4 linked regions of the Canis lupus familiaris genome follow. The protein of the gene in region 4 interacts with the protein of the main gene of each other region in a pairwise test. Links are inferred from orthologs where the notes say so. Each region holds a gene or a part of one and is shown on either strand. Other genes may lie near its edges.

Evidence for each region. The genes of interacting proteins can lie anywhere in the genome.
Region 1: the proteins of AKT1 (region 4) and TCL1A interact in binary tests that used the Homo sapiens proteins (3 or more experiments, as listed by UniProt). The link is inferred for Canis lupus familiaris from reciprocal best matches to the Homo sapiens genes AKT1 and TCL1A.
Region 2: the proteins of AKT1 (region 4) and ARNT interact in a protein complementation assay, tested with the Homo sapiens proteins (2 studies listed by BioGRID and IntAct, with this or other methods). The link is inferred for Canis lupus familiaris from reciprocal best matches to the Homo sapiens genes AKT1 and ARNT.
Region 3: the proteins of AKT1 (region 4) and CEP76 interact in binary tests that used the Homo sapiens proteins (3 or more experiments, as listed by UniProt). The link is inferred for Canis lupus familiaris from reciprocal best matches to the Homo sapiens genes AKT1 and CEP76.

The regions. Positions count from the first base shown.
Region 1 is NC_049229.1:64,860,706-64,866,425, forward strand, and holds the start of TCL1A (T-cell leukemia/lymphoma protein 1A), read right to left. Parts: upstream 3,947-5,720; coding exon 3,827-3,946; intron 1,388-3,826; coding exon 1,217-1,387; intron 805-1,216; coding exon 748-804; 3' UTR 744-747; intron 200-743; 3' UTR 1-199. UniProt on the Homo sapiens protein: Enhances the phosphorylation and activation of AKT1, AKT2 and AKT3. Promotes nuclear translocation of AKT1. Enhances cell proliferation, stabilizes mitochondrial membrane potential and promotes cell survival.
Region 2 is NC_049238.1:60,665,419-60,671,221, reverse strand, and holds the start of ARNT (aryl hydrocarbon receptor nuclear translocator), read left to right. Parts: upstream 1-1,857; 5' UTR 1,858-2,018; coding exon 2,019-2,043; intron 2,044-2,882; exon of another isoform or gene 2,883-2,906; intron 2,907-5,803. UniProt on the Homo sapiens protein: Required for activity of the AHR. Upon ligand binding, AHR translocates into the nucleus, where it heterodimerizes with ARNT and induces transcription by binding to xenobiotic response elements (XRE).
Region 3 is NC_049228.1:78,179,756-78,185,436, forward strand, and holds the start of CEP76 (centrosomal protein of 76 kDa), read right to left. Parts: upstream 3,947-5,681; 5' UTR 3,874-3,946; coding exon 3,811-3,873; intron 2,786-3,810; coding exon 2,630-2,785; intron 1,604-2,629; coding exon 1,522-1,603; intron 894-1,521; coding exon 669-893; intron 1-668. Other genes in the region: PSMG2 (proteasome assembly chaperone 2), read left to right, coding at 4,464-4,520. UniProt on the Homo sapiens protein: Centrosomal protein involved in regulation of centriole duplication. Required to limit centriole duplication to once per cell cycle by preventing centriole reduplication.
Region 4 is NC_049229.1:72,723,378-72,728,496, forward strand, and holds part of AKT1 (RAC-alpha serine/threonine-protein kinase), read right to left. Parts: intron 3,563-5,119; coding exon 3,434-3,562; intron 358-3,433; coding exon 246-357; intron 105-245; coding exon 1-104. UniProt on the Homo sapiens protein: AKT1 is one of 3 closely related serine/threonine-protein kinases (AKT1, AKT2 and AKT3) called the AKT kinase, and which regulate many processes including metabolism, proliferation, cell survival, growth and angiogenesis.

The DNA of each region.
Region 1 (5,720 bases), about 7.9 Mb from region 4:
GGGGGGCCACAGGCAGGTCCAGCAGGCCCTGTGTAGGGCTCATCCTCGGCCCCCCAATCCCCCCCGGACTGGGGAAGTACTGGAACAGGACACGCACAGCTGGTAAACGAAGGTGACCGCAAGCACGAACATCCCCTCTGCGGGCCAGCAGGACGTGGCCTCGGGGGATGCAGGAGGAGACAGGAGCGCGGGACCTGGGCTAAGAGAAGACAGAGTCAAAGGCAAAGGGGAGGATGTGGCACGGGCGAGGGCCGGGGTGGAGGGTGGGTGCGAGCGGAGCTGCTGGGGGGAGTCTGGACGGGGAGCTTGGGGGTCGGCCTGGGCCCCCAGGGCTGAGCCCCTGCGTCTGAGCCAGGGCAGATGACCAAGAGAGCGAGAGGCCTGGTGTCAGCGCACTGGGATTGGGAACCCGGCTCTGTGACCTGCCCCAGTTATGGTGCTTCCTCGAGGCTCGTTTTTGTAACCTAGGAAATCGAGTAATTCCCAGCTCAGTCGAGGTGATGATCAAGTGGGAGCACCCATAACGTGAGAGGCGCTGTACAGACGTGCACCCCTGCGGGGAAGGGGGCCGCGGACAACTGACTAGCCCCCAGTGTGGTAATGGGGAGAGCAGGGACCCTGAGACCCTCAGAGGACAGTTCCGTCGGGGTGGGAGTCAGCACTGCCTTCATGCGAGAAGGGTGGTCCTTCATCCCGACCTGGGCACTCTGGACCAACAGGTGCTGGGCCCCGAAGGTACTCACCTGGTCACTCATCCTCCAGGTCTGGCAGCTGCTCCAGGAGCATGTCCTCCATGCCACTGAGCTGCACGGGAGAAGCGGGTGAGAGGCCCGGGCCCTAGGAAGTCTCCTTCCATCCTTCTATTCCTGCCTCCCGGGCCTTCCAGGAGCTCGGAGCAGCAGGCAGGAACCTGCCTGGGGGCGGGGGATTCGAGGAGCCCCTCCTCCCACCAGCCTTCACCCCCTGACTGCCCATCCGAGAGGCCTCCCTGTGGCTGAGACCTCAGAAGGTGGCCCAGTCAATGTCTTCTGATGTCTCCCCAGTCCAATCCTTGAAAAACCTGCAGTTGTAAACTCCTACTTGTTTAGCTTTTGGTGAGAGATGGAGGGAATGGATTGACCTCAGAGGCCAGACATGGGGGCCTGGGGGAGGCGAGGAGGACAGGACAGGCCCACCCAAGATGACTCGACGGTGTCCAGGAGGAGGACACACTTGCCTCAATGTGGTACACTATGCGCCAGAAACTGGAGTCTGAGCCTCGGTATCTTCTTCCAGGGTAGAGCTGCCACATGGAAGGCAGCAGGCATGGGGCTAGCAGGCTGGGGCACATGGCCTCCCCTAGGGGGACATCTTCCTGACGCATGAGTACCTGGAGGCTGCTCTCCGTCTGAAGGGAAGGGAAGACCAGGGCATGCCTTCAGGGCCCAGGCTCCCCAGCACCCAAATACCCAGGGTCCTTCCTGCCACCCTCACGGCCCAGCTGACATCTGAAATGCTGGCGATCACTCTTCCCAGCAACTTCACCCCTTGCGCCATGCATGCCCCTCTCAGGCATCGGGCCAGGCGGAGATGACCGGCACTTACATGAGTCTAGACACCCAGACGGGGCCACACCAGGCCCACGTCTTCCTGACAAACTGAACATTCGTCCCTGAGCTTCCTTAGCTGCAGTTTCTTTGATTCTTCTTTATTTTGTCACAGAGCCCAGCCCCTTTTATTTATTCATTAAAAAAAAATTTTTTTTAAGTAATCTCTACACCCAACACGGGGCTTGAACCCACAACCCTGAGATCAGGAGTCGCTTGCCCCACCGACTGAGCCAGCCAGGTGCCCACAAATGCCCCATTGAAACAAATTTCCCCAGCACCCACAATCAGGTGAGAGACCACTTTTCCCCATCTCCACCAGTGCCCCTCTACTGCAGTAAGCTAACCTGCCACCTCGTTGGTCATGTGCCCCACGATCAGCTCACAGCACAGCAGCCAGGGTGTGCGTCTAAAAATCATGTCACCTCCTGTTTGACACCCTCCAGTGGCTTCTCATTGTGGGCAGAAGAAACTGCAGCCTTTACCATGGTCCACAGACCCACTAATGTGGGCCCGTGCCTCCCTCATCTCTTCAGTCCTCCACCTCCCACCCTGTTCCTCCACCTCCCACAAAGGCCTTCTTGCTCTTTCCAGGACATGCCACATCCCCAGTAATCTCTTGCATCTGTGGTCCTCTGCCTGGAACATTCTCGCTGAGATCTACACGCGGCTCACACCCTTCCTTAGATAGGTTTCTGCACAACTTTTTATCTACAGGGACAAATTTCTGCAAAATCCAGCTCTATGAAATACACATGAGGCCCGCATATCTAAAAGTGAGACTTACAAAGGTTTCAAATAAAATGATTGGACAAAAGCATGACAAACAAATGCAAATTAATTCTCTGACGGGGTCTTGCCTGTAGACCCCACGCCACTCGTTACTGCCTCTCATCCTTACACAACTTACCACCAGCTTCAATTATTTTATTGTTCTGCACCCCTCAGCAAGCATCAGCTTGCTGAGTAGCAGGATTTTATCACATTCCCCACAAAACCTCATAGCCTGGAAAGCAGGCTGGGTCTATAAACTAGGCATTCGTGTCTGCTCAAGAACTACTTTTCCAAAGTGGAAATCATTTTTTGTTTTTTGTTTTTAATTTGTTTTTTGTTTTTAATTTCCCATCTATGAGATAAATTAGAATTGTTAAATAATTCAGATCATCCTGCAAGATATGAGTGGAAATCACCATTCTTGCTGTGTTCGTTTATAGTTTTCTAGAGCCTCTAGACCACTTTTAGTCTGCGTGTTCATTTTTTTCTTATTTTTTTTTATTTTTTTTTTAAATTTATTTATGATAGTCACACAGAGAGAGAGAGAGAGGCAGAGACACAGGCAGAGGGAGAAGCAGGCTTCATGCACCGGGAGCCCGACGTGGGATTCGATTCCGGGACTCCAGGATCGCGCCCCGGGCCAAAGGCAGGTGCTAAACCGCTGAGCCACCCAGGGATCCCTTCTTATTGGTTTTAAGTCAATCTTTACATATTAAGGGCAGCCCCGGTGGCTCAGCGGTTTAGCACGGCCTGCAGCCCAGGGTGTGATCCTGGAGTCCCGGAATCGAGTCCCATGTAGGGCTCCCTGCATGGAGCCTGCTTCTCCCTCTGCCTCTCTCTCTCTGTCTTTTGTGAATAAATAAATAAAATCTTAAAAAAAAACTTTACAGGGATCCCTGGGTGGCGCCGCGGTTTGGCGCCTGCCTTTGGCCCAGGGCGCGATCCTGGGGACCCCGGATCGAATCCCATGTCGGGCTCTCGGTGCATGGAGCCTGCTTCTCCCTCTGCCTGTGTCTCTGCCTCTCTCTCTCTCTCCCTCTGTTACTATCATAAATAAATAAAAATTAAAAAAAAAAAAACTTTACATATTAAGAAAACAGGCCCTTTCAATCACATGGACACAAAGCCTGCCCCACATTGGGCTAGGGGTATGTTTCACGCAGGATCTATGAGGACAATGCAAAAACCTCCACTTTGTGGTCTTGGTGTCCTGTGCCCTAACCAGAGATTTAAATGCCAAGAGACACGGTGGTGGGGACCTGGGATTCCAGGCCTCTCACATCCTGCAGAGCTACCATAATATTTTTTTTTTATCTTTGTTCCTAATTCGGCGTCTGCACCGCTGCGTTCCGGGTGAAGCAGGCTCCGCTGCCCCCCACCCCCCCGCCCGCCCCTGGGAGTCGGGGCAGGTGGTCCCACCCCGGATGCCCACGCCGCGCGCCCGGCCCGCCCCGGGGCGGCTGTACCTCGATGGTTACGGGCAGCCAGGTGCGCTGGTTCTCGTCCACGTACACGGACGTCTCCCAGATCCACAGGTGGTCCGGGTGCAAGGCCGCGTGCGCCCTGAAGAACGGGAGCTCGCCCATGGCGCCCCGGGGCACGGGCGCGGGAGCCTCTGCAGCGCGGGAGCCCCTGCAGCGCGGGGTCGGGTGGGTCGCGGTGCGCGCGGGCGCCCCCGGGCGGCGGGGTGGGAGGGGCCGGGGGGGCGGGGAGGGGCGGGGCCGCGGGCGGGTCTGCAGCTGGACCTGCAGGGGGGCGCCCTGGCCAGGCCTGGGCTCCGGCTGTCCCCCCCTCCCCGCTCCCCGCTGCTGCTGGGGAGCCACCCCCTTGTCCGTGCCAAAGGCCTCTCGGCTCTCCGGGGCGCCCAGACCCCACTGTCCGAGCCCGCCACCGCGTGTGTGTGGCTGCTCACGTCCCACTAGAGACCGGGACGCCAGGCCGCTGCTGGGAACTCACAGTCGATGCCAGGCAACCCAGAGCCGGGCCCCCCTGCACATCTTCCCGGATCATGCGAGCCTGAACGAAGCCTGGACCCTCCCAGGTCCAAGCATCCCCTTCAGCCTCTGGATGGGGTGTCCGACTCGGTCTCCTTGGCCAAGTGCTACTCATGAAGCCCCGACACCCCACTCACCCCCACCCCCCTCCGCAAACACATTTTCCACGGCTTTGATGATGGTGTGGTCATCTAATAGCTATTGTGAAACACGATGGTGAAGAAACATGGGTTTTTTTTTCCCCTTTATAGGCTTTGAATTCATTGCTGAGCACATCCTTCAAAATGAATGCTTGAAAAGAATCCCTTCTCTCCGCCCCAAGATCAATGGAATTGAAAAGTCCCTGGGTTTCATGATCAAACCGGCTCTCTGTGAATTACAGCAAACAAGGAAAACAATGTCACTTCATTTTGCAGTACACCGCATGCCCATTAAGGCAATTAAGAAAATAAAGTACAATGAGAAACATGTAAAGCGAGGCCCGGCCTCGTTGCTCAAGCATCACCCCTGGCTGCAGTGTGGTGCTTCACCTTCCAGCTCCTTCCTGACTCTCTGCCCAGGCACTAAGAAAATACTCTGTGATCTTTCGAGATATCACAGAAATGAAAATGAGCTTAACCCTGATCCTCTGACAGCAAAGGTATGTATGTGCTGCTCTGCCCACTCCAAACAACCTAATTCCCAAGAAAGTGCTGAGGTGGCCTACAGTAATGGAGATAAATATATAATTGGATTTACCAGGAACACAAAAAGAGGAGACAAAACCCAAGCCAAGGTGGAGTGGAGGAGGCAGACGGGAGCCCAGCAAACCTCCTTCCCGGAGCAGCCTCTGGTGGTGCTGGTATTTCATATTCAGACTCGTGGCATTCAGAGTGATTTCCCAGTGGTTGGTTCTTAATTCCAGACCCAGGTAGCCACTGGGAGCAAGATAGTATGGTAATGGCTGGGGAATCTCAGCCCTGTCCTGAGCTTTGAGGTCAGAAACGGTGGTAACAAGTCTGGCTTAGACAGTGTGGCAAGGGAAGGAGGTAGCTAGGAGCCCGCGTGGCCACTGACCCAGCCACATCGAGGACCCCAGGACCCAGAAGGCCGATTTCTGGGGTCTGCCGATTTCATTACCACTCCTTCTGCTCTTCAGAGAGGCCACAATAGTAACAAGTAACAGAACAAGAATCACACTCCTTTGCCTGAATATCCTTCTGAATGTCCTGGGAATACATATGATCCTTACACCCCCCAGAGTCCTTTGAAAGAACAATATATGTCTTCAGCGTTGCATGAGAGCTTCTTAATATTGAGCAAGAGTGTACATCATTCTTGTGTAGGATTTAGCGAATCACTTGAGAGGGGATTCCAAAACATGAAA
Region 2 (5,803 bases), on a different chromosome or scaffold from region 4:
AAAATGACTTGTAAGTTTTGATGGCTTTTGGAGTCAGGGTTTGACAATACTTGTAGTGGGCAATGGACAAAAGGATTGTTGGTCCAATAAAATCCAATTTTTAGATAATCATAGTTGTGGTTTTTTTTAAAAAAAGATTTTATTTATTTGAGATAGAGCGAGGGAGAGAGAGAGAGAGAGAGAGCGAGCGCGCCTGAGTAGGGGGAAAGGCAGAAGGAGAAGGAGAAGCAGGCTGAGCCGACTCAGGGCTTGATCACAAGATTCCCAGGATCATGATCTGCGTTGAAAGCAGACGCTAAACTGGCTGAGCTACTCAAGAGCCCCATAGGTATTCATGATTATACTTTGTATTTACATTTTTATTTATTCATCGCTGCTTGGGTGAACTTATCACATGTAAAGGCACAAAACTCGAGTCCATATCTAAACTGCAGTCTTGTTTAATAGCTACCTTTACTACATAATTTTTTTTTCATAATTTTGAATTGAAATTCTGTACTTGTTAGTTTTTTCATCATTACTTCTTATGTGTCAATGTACTTCTTTAGAGTGGATGCTTTTTCTCTTTTGATGAATTGGAAATACAACACAATAAAATAACAAAGAAAAAATAATTTTAACAATGTAAATAATAATATACAAATTATGTTAAAATACCTCAGCGGAGATAAACTACTGATAAGGAGAGAAATGGATCAATGTAATCTTGTATTACATATGTAATCTATAAGAATGCAGATATACTCAAGAGCATAATGAAATTTGTTAAAATTCGAATTAAATTGATATTAAACAATAGGTGAAAGATAAGTAAGGTGGTAGTATATTGTAGTGCTAAAATATGTTCCTAGAGTCAGACTTCTTCAGTTTGCCTTGCACATCATTACTTACTAGCTGGTTATCACTTGCTTAATCTCTTTGCTTCTCTTTCCCTATCTGCAAGATGGAATTAATAATACAATCTACATCACAGTGTTGTGAGAACTAAATGAGTAAACACACAGAGCAGTTTGGATAGTGTCTGGCACGAATGCTTAGTGCTTCCTATTATTAAAAAAATCTGTTCAGTCCTCATCTTATTACTTCCCTACAAAAACCCATCATTATGTCCCTATTATTGACCAATGGAAGTCATCCCACTCTTAATCAGAATACCTTCTTTATACAACGCCTTTTGTTTTGGCTGTCGGTACCTCTCTCACCAGACCTTAAGCGCCCAGATTGTTTTACACGACCAGTTCCATACCAGGCACTCAAAAATTATTGAGTCTTTTTTTTCACCAGGGACAAAGGTCCTTAATGGAGGAAAAAAATTCTAGAAAGGATTACAAATCACTGTGTAAAGTTTAAGCATTAGAGCCACTAAAGAGGGTTTACGAAACAAATCGTCTGCACAGTTTTCAGCCAGGAAAATCCACCACCTAGGGCAGCCCCGGTGGCGCAGCGGTTTGGCGCTGCCTGCAGCCTGGGGTGTGATCCTGGCGGCCCAGGATCGAGTCCCGCGTCCGGCTCCCTGCATGGAGCCTGCTTCTCCCTCTGTCTCTGCCTCTCTCTGTGTCTATAAGTAAATAAGATCTTAAAAAAAAATCTACCACCTAGCTAAGCTTTTGAGTAAAAATGTTTTTCGCCTACGTCACTCGATCACTGACCTCTGACGCACAGGAGGCGGGATTAGAGAGAGACAGCTGGACTTCTTTTTTGCCCGCCCTCCTCCAATGGACTGGCGGGCACATTGGCCAGCCCTGCCTTTTGCATTCTCATTGGTCAGTTGCCCCGAGGAGGCGGGCTCTGAGGGAATGACTCCATCCACTCTTTGGGCGGGGTCCGTCCTCCGGAGGCTGGGGCCTGTCGGGGCGGGGTGTGTGTTACCGCAGCCGCCATCTTTGATTCCGCGGTAGCGGTGGCGGCTGTAGGGAGCCGCGTCTGGGGAGTGGCTCTCCCCTCCCCCTCCCCCCCGGTTCGGTGGCGGCGGCTCCTCCCACTCGGGGGGTGGCGCGACGGCATTGGCATCTACGGCCATGGCGGCGGCTGCTGCTAACCCCGGTAAGTAGACGGAGGACTGGGGCGCCTCTAAAAGGAGGAGGGGCTGAAAGGGTTGGCTGCTGAGGAGACCCAGGGCTGAGCGGCGGTAGTTGGGGCTGAGGGCGCTAAGACTAGCGGAGGTGGCCGACGGGTGGGGGAGGGGAATGGCGGGGGGAGGGGCCGGCCCTAGGGATCTGGGGAGACCAGAGGTGGAGGGAGGGAGTTCGTTGGGGCGAGTTCTGTCGGAGCGGTTCCCTTGGTTGGGCTTGGCCTGCCTCCACTGTCCTGGCGGCATTCTGCTGTGTGATGTGGTCCTTGAGCTCTGCCCACTTGAGCTGCTTGATGCACAATAACTGGGAAAATTGTCTCCTTTTACTTTAAAAGTGATTTAGATTTATCAACACTGGACCGCATTGCTGTTTAGCTGAGGTGTTGAACTTCCAAACGTTTAGACGTTTACATTTTTAATTTAAATTAAAAAATGTCTGGATATATACCCAGTTTCTCTAGGCTTAACATTCCCCCCCCCCCCCCCCCGGCTATCCTTTGAAACTGGCGTTTTTGTATTAAGTGCCTCCCAGTGTCTTCAGCTGCTGAGGACAAAAGTTTGAGTAATGTTTGGTGCTCAGGGCAGATGTTGCCAACAGCTAGCATTCAGAACCTGAACTTTAAATCTTGTTGGGTGTAGATGGAGGCAGTTCCCATTCTTTTTTTTTTTTTTTTTTAAGATTCTATTTATTCGTGAGAGACACCGAGAGAGAGGCAGAGACACAAACAGAGGGAGTACCAGGCTCCCCGCGGGGAACCCTATGTGGAACTCGGTCCCAGGACACCGGGATCACGACCTGAGCTAAAGACAGACGCTCAACCACTGAGCCACCCAGGTGCCCAAGCAGTTCCCATTCTTTAAGAAAAATTCGGTTCCATGTCATTTTTCAGTGAGCATCTCTTCAAAAGGGGGAGCGAGAATATTAAAAAAATCTAGGCAGTCATGTTTAAGCGATGGAGTGGGGTGTATTGCTGCAGGTCTAGACAGATCAGGTCTCCAAATTCCCAGTCCCAGATCGTTCCACTATGTTACAGTTATTTCTTCCTTGGAAGTATTTCGTTTTAGGGATCCTGGTTTACCTTGCAGACCTTGGCCATTCTCTTGTGAAATAAAAATTCTTTTCCGGAAATCTCTATCTTTGATAACCTTAAAAAAGAAGCCAGAAGTTCGGGGTGAATTACTTGAAAATACTGCGGTGAAAGGGATTCACAGTGAAAGGGTGTTCCCACGTTGAAACTGAAGTTGACTTTTTTCCGTGTATCTCAACTGATTATTATTTTGTGGTACCCAGGTTTTGGTATAGCAGTTAAATCACTATGAAGTTTACTGTCTTTACTACCATGTTTCTGGGAACAGAGCTATTTAAAGAAGTTAATTTGTCACATATCAATATCATATTGTAAAATATTTTAATTTTTTTTAGAGGAAAAGTAGATGAAATTAATGGCTAAAACTCTATTGGAAGAAGTGCTGATGATGGAATAAAATTGGAAAGATGCTATTATTATGGCAAACCTGGCCTTGTAGTAAAGTAACCCATGTGTTAAAACTAAGGAGTAAATAAATAGGGTTTTAAACTGATAACACATTGCAAAATAGTTACATAATCCTAGTCAAGTTGCAAAGCTTTTCTCTTGTTAAGATGTGGCCTGGGTAAACAAGTTTAGTGCATATGTCGGAAGCTTTTTTTCAGCAGTGTGGGTGGGGCTGCTTTATTTCATTTTATTTTTTTTCAACAACAGTGACCAGAATGTCAGCTTCTTGACCACATTTCATTAGCTGATTCATATCAGCTTAAATCTGAAGCAGAAAATGGTATTTATTTGTGTACAATCCTTGCTAGTGAAGCATATGATTTTATTCTATGACAGCCTGCTTCTGCAATTTTTAGATTTCCTTTTTGATGTTGAAAATTCTCACTTCTCTTCCAAATTATTGATACAACAACATTCAACACCTGGTAATTAGAAAATGTATTTTCTTCCATCATTTCTTCTTTTGCTCCTCTATATTCAAAAGGAAGCAATCATAGGTGTATTGTGGTCTTTAATAGCCTTGTTGAGTTTTGGGAAATGTGGACTACAAATAAAGGGACACAGGATGGAAATGTATTGCGCTCAGTGAAAAGAAGTAAATAAGGGATCCCTAGGTGGCTTGGTGGTTTCGCCCCTGCCTTCAGCCCCGGCCGTGATCCTGGAGTCCCGAGATCGAGTTCCGCATTGGGCTCCCTGCATGGAGCCTGCTTCTCCCTCTGCCTGTGTCTCTGCCTGTCTCTTTCTGTGTGTCTCTCATGAATAAATTTTTAAAAAATCTTTAAAAAAAGTAAATATTTTTGGAGCATCTGAATGGTGCAGTTGGTTGTCTCAGACTCTTGCTCCGGTCATAATCTCAGGGTCCTGGGATCAAACCCTGAGCAGGCTCTGACCTCAGGGGAGAGTCTGCTTGAGATTCTCCCTCTCTCTATGGCTCCCCGCATCTGAGCACGTGCTCTTTCTCTGAAATAAATAAATCTAAAAAAAAAAAGGAAGGTAAATGGTTTTCAGGTCAGAATTCTTTGTTTCATGGTCAAACATTTCCTTAGATCCATTTTAGGGACTAGAGACATCATACTTATTTCTTTGAGTTTTTTCTACTTTATCTTTTTGCTGGTTAAGATTCCCTGATATGTTAAGAGTTACATTGAAATAATAAGTCTAATGTGATAATGGCCTTTTCTCTGCATAAATTGATAATCCCCATGTTCTGTTATTTTTCACTAATTCTTCTTACCATTGGCAAATAATAGTGGGTGGGTAAGTGGTCCATGAAGTATTAGGCTGTCTTTTTTGTTATGAAACACTAACAGTTTTGAGGAATACTTTTTAGATTACATGCATGATTTGTAATGCATTGGCTAAGGCATGGATTGGGAAGAGATTAGGTATTTGACTTCCAACTCCATATTCAAAGCAGAAATAAGAATGAATTTGTAGGAGTATAGGTATGTCCTCCTCCCTTGATTCTGGTATTCTTATCTCACCTCTTTTTGTGCTAATAAGTACCACTTATTGTGGCTAGAAAATGTGGCAGAAGGTAAAGGGACACTGTTTAGGTTTGTGAAGCTGATATTTAGGAAATTTTTTTCTTTTCACATAATATTCACCTATGTAAATTATAGTTTGGAAAGCATTAGTTAACAACAATATTCTTATTTGTTACCTTTACTCTTTTTAGTTATGGGAAAAATAGGAATTTATGTGGTGTAAAATTAAGATATCAAGATGCTTTATTGCAAAAACATTTTTGAAAAGTATATTGAGGGTTGCCTGGGTGGCTTGGTTGAATGACTGACTTCAGCTCAGGTCATGATCTCAGGATCCTGAGATTGAGCCCCATGTCAGGGTCTTTTTTTTTTTTTTTTCCATGTCAGGGTCTTGCTTCTCCCTCTCCCTTTGCCCTCCCCCCTGCTCATGCTCTTTCTTTCTCTCTCTCAGGTAAATAAAATATTTTTTAAAAGGTATATTAAATATAATTTACTAACTCAGTAATTGAAATACAATTAACATTTTGAAAAAGAACGTTGATCTGTGCAAATCTGTGTGTTAGATTTGTGGTGCTAATCTGAATCTTCTCTGTTTTCTTAGAAATTAAGAAGTAGATACTTATGCATTATGGGAACTCTAGTTTTCTTATTTTTGTGAAATAGTACTCTCTAATCTTATTTTTTTTGCATAATAGTTCCACCTCTCTACT
Region 3 (5,681 bases), on a different chromosome or scaffold from region 4:
GAAATAACATAAAATACAGTTACAGAAATAATATAAGAATTATAGGAATCAGGTATATAATTTTAAAAAACTAGTTACAGACTCCCATCTTACCTTTATTTCTCAAAGTTACATAACATGATAAACCTAGCTATCCTTCATAAATGAGAAGAATTATGTCTTGTTCTTCACTAGATCCTCAGCACTTGCCTAGTACAGTATAACGCATCTAGCAGGCATTCATTGATTGGTTGATTGACTGATTTTGGGGAGGGGGGCGGAGAGGGAGAGGGAGAAAGAAATCTCAAGTAGACTCTGTGCTGAGCGCAGAGCCCGATGCAGGGCTCAAACCCACAACACTAAGATCATGCATGACCTGAGCCAAAATAAGGAGTCAGATACTTAACCGACTACAGCACCCAGGCAACCCCCTAACAGATATTTAAATGTTTACTACTTAAGAAGCAACCATTAAAACAGTAAAAATAAAAAATCTTAAGGAAAAATTATTTAGCAGAAAATAAAGCAAAAAGGTAGAAGTAATTTATGTAAAAAAGAGCAGTGGAGAAAATAAAAGCAAAGTAGGAAGATTCAATCATCATAAAACTCTCCTTCTAGCAAAAGTTATGTTACCATAAAACCTAACAAATATTTACTCAATTAAATGACAAGTTATTATTGCTCCTTACCTAAGCTTTCTCTGTGTACTTCAAGTAAAAAGCCATCATGAAAATCTGGTTCACAGGCACATGGAACAGGTTTAGAACGAAAACGTTGGTTTCGAAAATGTAAACATAGAGTAAAGGTTGAACAAACTTGTCCAGGTAAAGGCTCAGGTTCTTGTAGATGTTCCAAGAAAGCTTTTCCACCCAAAACCTGAAGGTAAAGATACCTCCGTGTTGGATCAATATTAGCTGTAAAGTGTAGCAATATATATGAGGAAACTGCCAAACAACTTAAGGAATGTGATCAAGACAATAGGAAATAATAACTTGACAGAAATAAAACCAAAGACTAAATTAAAAAAGTAACAAATTTACTGTATACCAGGACCATTTGAAACCAAGAAAGAAAACATACACAATAAGATATATTTTTATCGGAGTTTTTATATTCTGGGTACTTTCTCCCAGCTAGAAAAGAGTCAGAGCCAAGGCTTAAGAAACCTTTGCTCTTCAGGTGCTTATCTAATAACACGCCTTCACCGCCAAAGCCAAACCAAACAAATATAAACTCAGCAAGTGTACTTTTTAGGCAATTACCGTTAAAAAAGCAAAGCTGTACAATGTTTATAAAACATATTATTAAAACATGAGAAACAGGTAATTCTGTTTTTGCTTCCACTCTGTGATATACTAAAGCTTCTGACATACACAACTTGGTGCAAAACAGAATCTAAGTTTTTTGGATGATTAATTACAAAAATGGTAAGAATCTCATTCGAGAAGGAAAAAAATGGTTTTCATCAAATACCAAACACTACAGCACATCAATATGTAGTACGGTGCAAAACGAAATCAATGTTAAAAGAAATATACATACTTTTTTTTAACAACGTTGATTGTCTATCAGTAAAACAAACAGGTTGTTTTGGAGAGGAAGGTAGTTCTTGATCAACACTGTCCTAGAAAGGTGGGAAAAAAGATGAAAACAAATTAGAAAACAAAAATTATAGCTAAGCAAAGAAACATCAACAATGGGTGGGACTAAGAACTAAACAGAAGTATACAGGATAAAGCCCCCTCAAGGAAACTCTTATTTTCCCAGCATAATTAAAATAATGAAAAGAGTTGATGAACTGGTCACTCCTAAACTTTAATAAGGAAATAAACTGTCTTCAGTGTCCACAGAATGCTATTAACAAATCCTTAATACCTTAAACAAGGTTAAACTTTTTCTAAACCTAATATGACATTTGGCTTATGATTCTACCATGAACTGATTTTAATAAGGAAATGACATTCACACAGCAGAAGCTGTTACTGGGTCAATTTTCAAACAAATGGGTTTATAAACCTCAAAAACCAAAAAAGGAGGCTGTATTAAAATACTTATTCCCTGATGTATTATGCACTCCATCCAATTTTTACATTATACTACTCATGTATTATTAGGTCACAGTTTCTCATTATTGCCTCATTTTCAAAAGAAGGCCCACTTACTATTTTGTGCACGGAGGCTTATCATCTCACTACCGACCTATTTGTATAAAGAGATTTGAAGGTTCTTACACAATTATTTTCTTTAAAAATTTGATAATCTGTTAATCACAGAGAATGAAGTTCTAAAACAATGTATTTAAAAAATATGCCTAATCTAAAAAAAATTATAAAACACTACTTGCGAAAAAGAACTAGGTTATGGTGAACTAATTTCACTAAAATATGTATACTTACAGATACAGACCTAGGGAATAACAACAGAAAATTCTGTCACTGTAAAGAGAAATATGGTATGTAACTCCAATCTCATTGATACATAATCCCACTTGCTACATTCAAGGGTAGAGTGAACTTATAGTAAGGATATTACCAGACAAAAATGGCCTTTTAAAGTGATTTTACTAAAAACAGGCCCCAAATATGGACCCAATAAGCAGCATTATGCCCAGGAACATATTCTCAAAATTCTTCCCCACCAAACTACTCACAGTAACAAAATTAAGTTCTTTCATCACATCATCAATGATTCCCCGACGTCTAAGGGCTTTGATCAAATCTTCCGTTGATAACTGTTGTTGATCAGGTGCCAATTCTTCCCGTATTGTCTCTGCAAGGATTTCTCTTATTCTGCCATGGACATCCATCTATGTAGAAAACTTGCAATATAACTCACGTTTATAAAGCTGACAAACATTGCCAATTAGCTAATTTCTTTCTAAAGCACCCAAAGGAAAAAAAAAATAATGGGAGAGTACTAGGGGCACCCGGGGGGCTCAGCGGTTGAGCGTCTCCCTTCCGCTCAGGGCGTGACCCCAGGGTCCCGGGATCGGATCGAGTGCCACATCGGGCTCCCTGCAGCGGACCTGCTTCTCCCTCTGTGTGTCTCAGGAATCAATAAATATCTAAAAAACAATAATGGGAGAGTGGACAAAATTCAAGACGGCTTTTCAAGCTAATAGTAAGTGTAAAATTATCGCTAGAATTCAATGAGAATAAAGCTAAGACTTTTATTTCATCCTAAATTTCTCTTAGCACAAATTCTAGAAATAATCTCTACTGGCTATCTACTACCTTTGTTACCATTTCCCCACAAATAACATTCAACGAAAACAGGCCTATTGGGAGTGTAGTATACGCAAGAGAACACAGACCTGGACTAGGAGATCAGAGTATGAATTTCAACGTTGAGCTTATGAGACGTGACCCTGAGTTGATCCGTTTACCCTGCATGAGTCTGGAAAAGATTACTGCAGGCTCAGGTCAAAGATGCTTTACACTGAGCACGGGACCTGGCATACAGGTGCACAGCAAACGGCAGCTTTCAGGGCTTCAGCTCCCTGCGTTCGGGGCTCTCGCTGGGCTCCGAAGGGCCGCAAGCACTCTCCGTGCAGACCTTCAGGAACGTCCCCCTGGCTCAACTTCAAGACACGAGTTTCACCCTTAAAGTAACTCTCACTCCTACCCTCCGAACATACATCTGCTGCAGCCCAGCTGGTATTCGGCCTGGCACCCCGAAGCCGCGGGGTGAGCGCCTCCTCCTCAGCGCGGCTGAGGCTGCCCTTCGCCGAGGCTGGAGGCGGCCCGGGCTGCACACTCGGAGCCCCCCGCCCGCGCCGCCGTCGGCCTCGCCCGGGACGCCAGGCGGGCGGCGCCAGGGCCGGACCCTCACCTTGCTCAGCTGCTGGTGGATGAGCTGCTTCAGCTCGGAGGCCTTCTCCGGAGGCAGCGACATGCTGCGGCCGCCGCTCGCCGCGCTTCCCCCGCCTCGGGCGCGCCCGGCCGGCCCCGGGGTGCCAGTAGCCGCGGGGCGGAGCCGCCGACCGCTCGGCCTCGCGCAGCTCCCGGGGGGCGCGGCGCCGCGTCAGGGCCGCGGCTGGGCGGGAGCCGAGGCGGCGGCGGCGGCGGCGCTCAACCGTGGCTTTCAAACGGCGCGGACTGCCGGGGCGCGGGCTGCCCCCGTCCGTGCCTGACCACGTCCGCCTCCGCTCCCGGCCTGGGGACGCCCACCGCGCCAGCCCACGCTCCCCGCCGCCCTGCCCCGCGGGGGTCTCCGCCCGCACTGCCCGCCCCCATCTCCCCCGGCGCCCGGCCCTTCGCGCACCGCGGACCGGCGCGGAGCTGGACTGGCCCCGCAGGACCCCACGCCGAGCGGCGGCCCGGGCCCCGCCCCCGCCCCGTGGCCCCGCCCCCCGCCCCGTGGCCCCGCCCCCCGCGCTGGGGACCGCGCTGCCAGACCTGGCGCGGCGCTCGCGGGTCCGCCCCCGCCCCCGGCCTCCTGGGCCCGCGCTCGGCCTTGCCTGTCCTCCCGCCCTCTGTGCCACCATGTTTGTCCCCTGCGGAGACTCGGTCCCCGACCTCGCGGGCCACACCCTTCTCATGGTGAGTCCCCGTTCCGCGAGCTCCGGGGCGCCGGCCGTGGGGGGCGCCTGGGGGCCGCCGGCGCCGTGGGTGGGGCTAGTTCTCCGGTCCCGGGACGCGGGACGCCGCCGGCACCTGCGGGTTTCGGGTTTGCGGCCCGCGCGGAGGAGGGTGGTCGCCGGGGGCGGCGCTCTGGTTACTCGGCGGCCGCCGTCCCCGGGCGTCTCCGAGACTGGACTCTGGTCTTCGCTGTCACACGGAGCGTGTTTGCTGGTTTCGGGTAACGTGCGACGCAGGTCGTGCGGGCCATTTTCTTTTCATTGTATCCTCGAAAATCTTTTTTTAGCTAAAATCAGAGCCATTCTTAAGCTGGCGAGACTTTAAGTCATTCGTTATTTGGTCGTTAACCAAAAACCTACGCATAAGGTAATAAAAGCAATGTTGGCCAGTCACTAACTCCTGCTTGGTTTTGGGTTTTTTGTTGTTTTTTTTTTTTTTTTTTTTTTTTGAAGACTTCACCTGTTGATTCATGAGACACACACACAGGCAGAGGGAGAAGCAGGCTCCATGCAGGGAGCCCGACGCCGGACTCGATCCCGGGTCTCCAGGATCACGCCCTGGGCTGAAGGTGGCGCTAAACCGCTGGGCCACCTGGGCTGCCCTAGGACAGCACTTTGGAAAGGACACAGAAGAATCCTAGGACTTACTGGGAGGGGAAGGACGCAAAGACCTGTTAAAGCTTTAAATGTGGAATCTCGGGGCCTGGGGTGAAAAAAATCCTCAGATAAAGACACAGAGAAGGGGTTGGCGGTAGCCAGAGGCAGGTGAGGATGAGAGTTGCTTGAGTGAGATAGATGAAGGCAGTCAAAAGGTACAAACCTCCAGTTATAAAGAGGTCCTAAGGATGTCTCGTACGGTGCAGTGACTATAATACAAAGTATTGCATAGTATATTTGAAACATGCTGAGAGAGTAGATTTTTTGAAGATTTCATTCATTTATGAGAGAGCTAGAGAGCACAAGCAGGAGGAGGGTGGGGAAAGAGAGAGGGTGACGCAGACTCCCCGCTGAGCAGGGAGCTGTAGGCTGCCTCCATCCCAGGACTCTTGGATAATGACCTGAGCCTAAGGCAGAGGCTTCACTAACTGAGCCACCCAGGCACCCTAAGAGAAGAAATCTTAAA
Region 4 (5,119 bases):
CCCCCGAGTTGTCACTGGGCGAGCCCGACCGGAAGTCCATCATCTCTTCCTCCTGCCTCTTGAGCCCGTCGGCCACTGTCTGGATGGCAGTCGTCCACTCCTCCCTGCAGGGCCGGCACGTGAGGCCCCGTGACCCCGGCCTGGACACGGGGGACAGCGAGGCCTGGCTCCCCACAGGGCGTGTGCCCTCCCCACCAGGGAGCAGAGGCCCCGGCACCCAGCTGCCCCGTGCATCCATCTCATACCGCTCCTCGGGTGTCTCCACGTGGAAGGTGCGCTCGATGACCGTGGTCCACTGCAGGCAACGGATGATGAAGGTGTTGGGCCTGGGCCGCTCAGTCTTCATCAGCTGACATTCTGGGGGCAGGGCTGGCAGGTGAGTCTGCACCCCCGCACACAGGGCCCACCTGCCCCCGGCCCCGGGACCCCACCACCAGGTCATGCAAAGCCCTATCCCATTCCCATTCCACGCCTTGGCTCCCCTGCTTGTAAAACCAGGGGTGGGACCCCTATTCCAGTCCTGACACTGTGCTGGCAGGCAGTGAGGTGCCCCTGCAGGGCTGGCTGAGGCCGGGTCACCTCGGCCCCATGTCATCCTCTCCCCTGGTCCTTCGGTCTCTGAGCCCGTGCTGCATGCCAGGCAGCTCAACTGGCCGGAGGGAGGAGGAGGAGGGATGCCCCAGGGGCGGGGCAGAGGAGGGAAAGCAGCTGGCCCCCGAGCAGGAACCCCCTGCCATTTACCCAGCCCACGCCCCCCCCAGCAGGGCCAGTCCCAGGGCAAAGGCCGGTGGGGACTCACCCTTCAGAGACGCCGCCTGTCCTGGGCAGGCAGCTGGAGGACATGACCCTCCCTGGAGGCTGCTCGGGCTGTACCCACCCCACACGATGGCATTCCCCCACCACCACCCGAGGCTGGGGATTCCAGGCGCATGGCAGGAACACGGAGACACATATCCAGAGCACGCACACACCTGGAGCATGCACAAACCTGGAATGTGTGCACACCGGGAGCTCATACACAGCTGAAACACACGCACACTAAGGAGCTCAGAAGCATGCTCATGGCCGGAACAGGCACACACTTGGAGCAGGCACACAGCTGGGATGCGTGCACACCGGGAGCTCACACAGCTGGAACATGCACGTGCCTGGAGCAGACACACAGCTGGATTGTATGCACACTAGGAGCTCATACACAGCTGAAACGCGGGCACACCTGGAACACACGCACACTAGGAGTTCCCACACACTGGAAGCTCACACACAGTTGGAACACACACACACCAGGGGCACGCTCATGGCTGGAGCACGCACACACCAGGACTGCACACACCTGAAGCGGGCACACAGCTGGACCAGACACACAGCAAGAGCAAAACACACCAGGAGAATGCACACGCCTGGAACAGGTACACAGCTGGAGCACGCACACACCTGGAGCAGGCACACAGCTGGAGCACACACACACCTGGTGCAGCCACACAGCTGGAGCAGGCACACAGCTGGAGCACGCACACACCTGGAGCAGGCACACAGCTGGAGCACGCACACAGCTGGAGCACGCACACAGCTGGAGCACACACACACCTGGAGCAGGCACACAGCTGGAGCACGCACACAGCTGGAACACGCACACAGCTGGAGCACGCACACACCTGGAGCAGGCACACACCTGGAGCAGGCACACAGCTAGAGCACACACACACACCAGTAATGCACGCACACCAGCAGCACAGGGGCTGTGGGGATGCACGAGGCCCCAAGAGGGGTGTGAGCCAGTCTGGGGTACCGCTGAGAAATTCTAGGGCGACGCTGGCCCAGTGTGTGTGAGGGCCCTAGCAACCTCAGGGGGGCCTGGCCGGGCTCGGCAGAGGTAAGGAGTGGTCTACCGGGGCTGGGCCTGGCCTATGTCAACATGGGGATGGGGGACAGAAAGCCTTGTGGCCTGTGTTCTCCGTCCCGCACACCTACCTCCCACTGGCTCATCAGAGACCACCAGCTTTTCCCAGAACCTAGGCGCCTGGTGTCCGTCCCACCCTGGCTTCCTGTGCCCCCACCCCTGGAATCCATCCCCAAGGAGAAGCCCGTAGCCACAGAGGCCCCCACCCAGCCACCTCCCCGGCTTCAGGGCCCCAGCCCCAGCCCCTCTGCATGGCGCCTGCCTCCCGAGAGCCTCTGTAGGCTCTCTGCCCGCAGGGAACATTCCCCAGGGCCCCCACAGCCCTGCCAGCAAGGTGGCACCCACCCCAGCCAAGGAGGCACTGGGCGGAGCCCAGCCAGCCACCAGGCTGCAGGGACAGGGGTGCCTACCTCCTTGGTCTCCCGTCACCCTGGAGCCCCTACTCTATGGCTGCTCCGAGGAAACCTGAAGACGCGGATGGGGTCAGGACTCAGTGGACCCGGGTCATGGTAAAGGTCCCCTGGGAGACCCCCAGGCAGGAGACTTACAGGGCAGGGGCTATGCTCCCCCCCGGACAGAAGCCCTCGGTGGGGGGCTACGCTGGCCATGCCCCTTGCCCCTACAGCACAGCGCTGGCTACACCGAGAGGGTGGGCAGGACAGCCAAGGTCCAGGACCGCCCAGCTCTATGTCCCTGCCGCCCACACGGAAGCCGTGAGTCCCTCCCCATCACCCCTGCCACCTCCCCGAGACTCTGGAGCAGAACCTGGGCCAGACGTGGGGGAGCTACAGGACCCCAGGCTCCCAGGCTGAATGGCAGGGAAGGCAGAGGGACCCGGAGCGTGGAGATGTATAAAGGAGACTAGGGTGGAGGCCGGACCCCCACAGCGGGCACCTCGTACCCTGGACGGCATCCCAAGACGGACCCAGGAGGTCTGTCAGTTCAGGAGCCCATCACTCATCCTCCCCCCCCACCGCCCGGGGCCGTGTCCCGGGTCAGCCCCGGGCGGCCCAGCTCCATGCCCAGGTCACCCGAGCCCCACAGGTGGGGTCGCACCAGCTGTCCCCACCCCTTGCAGGTACAGAGTAAGGCCACCGGAACACGGAGTTTAGAGAAAGCACCAGGCTTTCCAGCTTTGCAGGCTGCCCCAGGCCCCCTGCGTGGCACTGCCCCCCACAAACCACCACAGGGCCCAGGCCTCTGGGGGCTCCTCCTGGGGGGACAGAGGCTCCCGGAAGCCGAGTGCCCCTCTCGCACTCTCGTCCTGCCTCCACACCCAGACCGCCGTGAGCTCCAGGTGGCGTCCAGCCCACTTGCTGTGCCCCTCAGCCAGGCCCTCGGACGCCAGAGCAAGCGGCCCCGGGACAGGTCCGGGGTGGCCCGCCTCGGAGCTCCCGGCAGCCAGAACCAGCCGCACGCTAGTTCCCACGGGGACTCAAAGCCAGCCCCGCCGCCCTGCCCTCCTGTCCAGCCAGGGTGGCCCCCGCGCCCAGCGGTGCCCAGCCGCGGCCCGGGGAGGCCGCACGCACTTACGTGCCACGGAGAAGTTGTTGAGGGGGGACTCTCGCTGCTCCACATCCTGGGGCCGCTCCTTGTAGCCGATGAACGTGCCGTCGTTCTTGAGGAGGAAGTACCGGGGCCGCCAGGTTTTGATGTACTCCCCTGAGGACACGGCGCGGTGAGGGGACGCGGCCGCCGGACCCTGCCCCATCCGCCCACGGAAACCCCGGCCTAGCACACGCACCCAGGACACGCTAACCCGAGGACGCTGCCCTCGCTCCCAGCAGGGCGGACAGGGGTGCCAGCGTGGCAGGGCTAAGGGCTCCCCCCACCCACCTGGGTCCGGCCAGGCGGCGGCCGCCAGTTACTGCAGGGACAGCGGCCCCCGGCCTGCAGGATGGAGCCTGGCGTGTGGCATCGAGGGGACAGCGAGTGGGACTCAGGGCGCCGTCTGCAGCAGCACCCCGCCCCCGGGCCGGGCACTGGGACACTTGCCTCCCCGCACCCCCCACCGTGCACATCGCGGGCATCAGGGCAAAGCCAGGCCCAGGTGTCCGCGTGCTCCCCGGGCTGCGACCTGCCACCCCTGACCCGCACGCCCACGGATGGGCTACCCAGGTACACGGGGAAGCGTTCCCCAAGTTTCGCCACATCAGCCATAAACAGGCGTTCGCACTTAAGAACCAGAGCAGATGTCCTCTGCGATGTTCGAGCGACTGTCATTTTTCATACTGACACCCCGAAAAAAAATGTTTCATTTCCATTTTGCCGAGCAAGGAGTTTGCACAGCGACGAAGAACTTACTAATTAGACAACTGCTTTATCGCAGGAGCCACTGGGCAGCAGGTGGGGGGAGGCCGGGTCCCCACGCTCTGGGCCGGGCCCTCCCTCCCGCAGGGCCCCGCGGCAGGGGCACCGGCACAGGCCTGCTCAGGGCCAGGCACCGGGGGTGGGGGGGCTCCCCGCCTCACTGCCCAGCGCCTCCACCAACCCAGCGGCCTCTGAGACCCAGCCCTGGCTCCACGACACCTGGTGGGGGCTGGGGGGTCACCCCGGCCCTACGCGGCTGGCACAGAGGGACCCGAGTGAGGGCAGCGACCCGCCCGGTACCCCAACCGCACTCAGCGGGCCCTCCACCCCGATCCGCCGAGCCCCCAAGCCCGCGAAGACGGTCGGCTGGGAAGGCTGGGGGGACCTCGGGGCCCGGGACCCGCCCGGCGCCCCCACACCCCTTCCCCGCCGGTGCAGCGGGTGGGCCCGAGCGAGGCGGCCCCGGGCCGTGTGCAGCCCACCACCCGCGCGGGCCCGGGCGCGCGCTCCCACCCGCCTGCGCGCCAGTCTGGAGCTGTCGGCCCCTGATGGAGTGGCTCCCACCCCGCCAGCTGCCGCTCCCCGGGACGCTAACTGAGCGGGAGAGCGATGAGCGCCTCGCCCGCGCCGCCCCGGAAATCCATCTTGATTCACCAACTGCCGCCGGCCCCCACCGCGCCCAGCACCGCGCCCCATGCGTGCAGCCGGCACGTGTGCGCCTGCTCAGCCACACCCACACGCCGGCCGGGGCCTCAGTTTCCCCACGGGGTCCAGGATCCCTGGAACGGGGGTGCCGGTGCTGCAGTACCCAGGACTCACCCGGCCACTTGGCTGTGCACCTGCGGCACTCCAGGAGCCTTCACCCCACCCCGCTCCAGGGCCAGGAAGGTTCTGGAACCCAGAACTGGG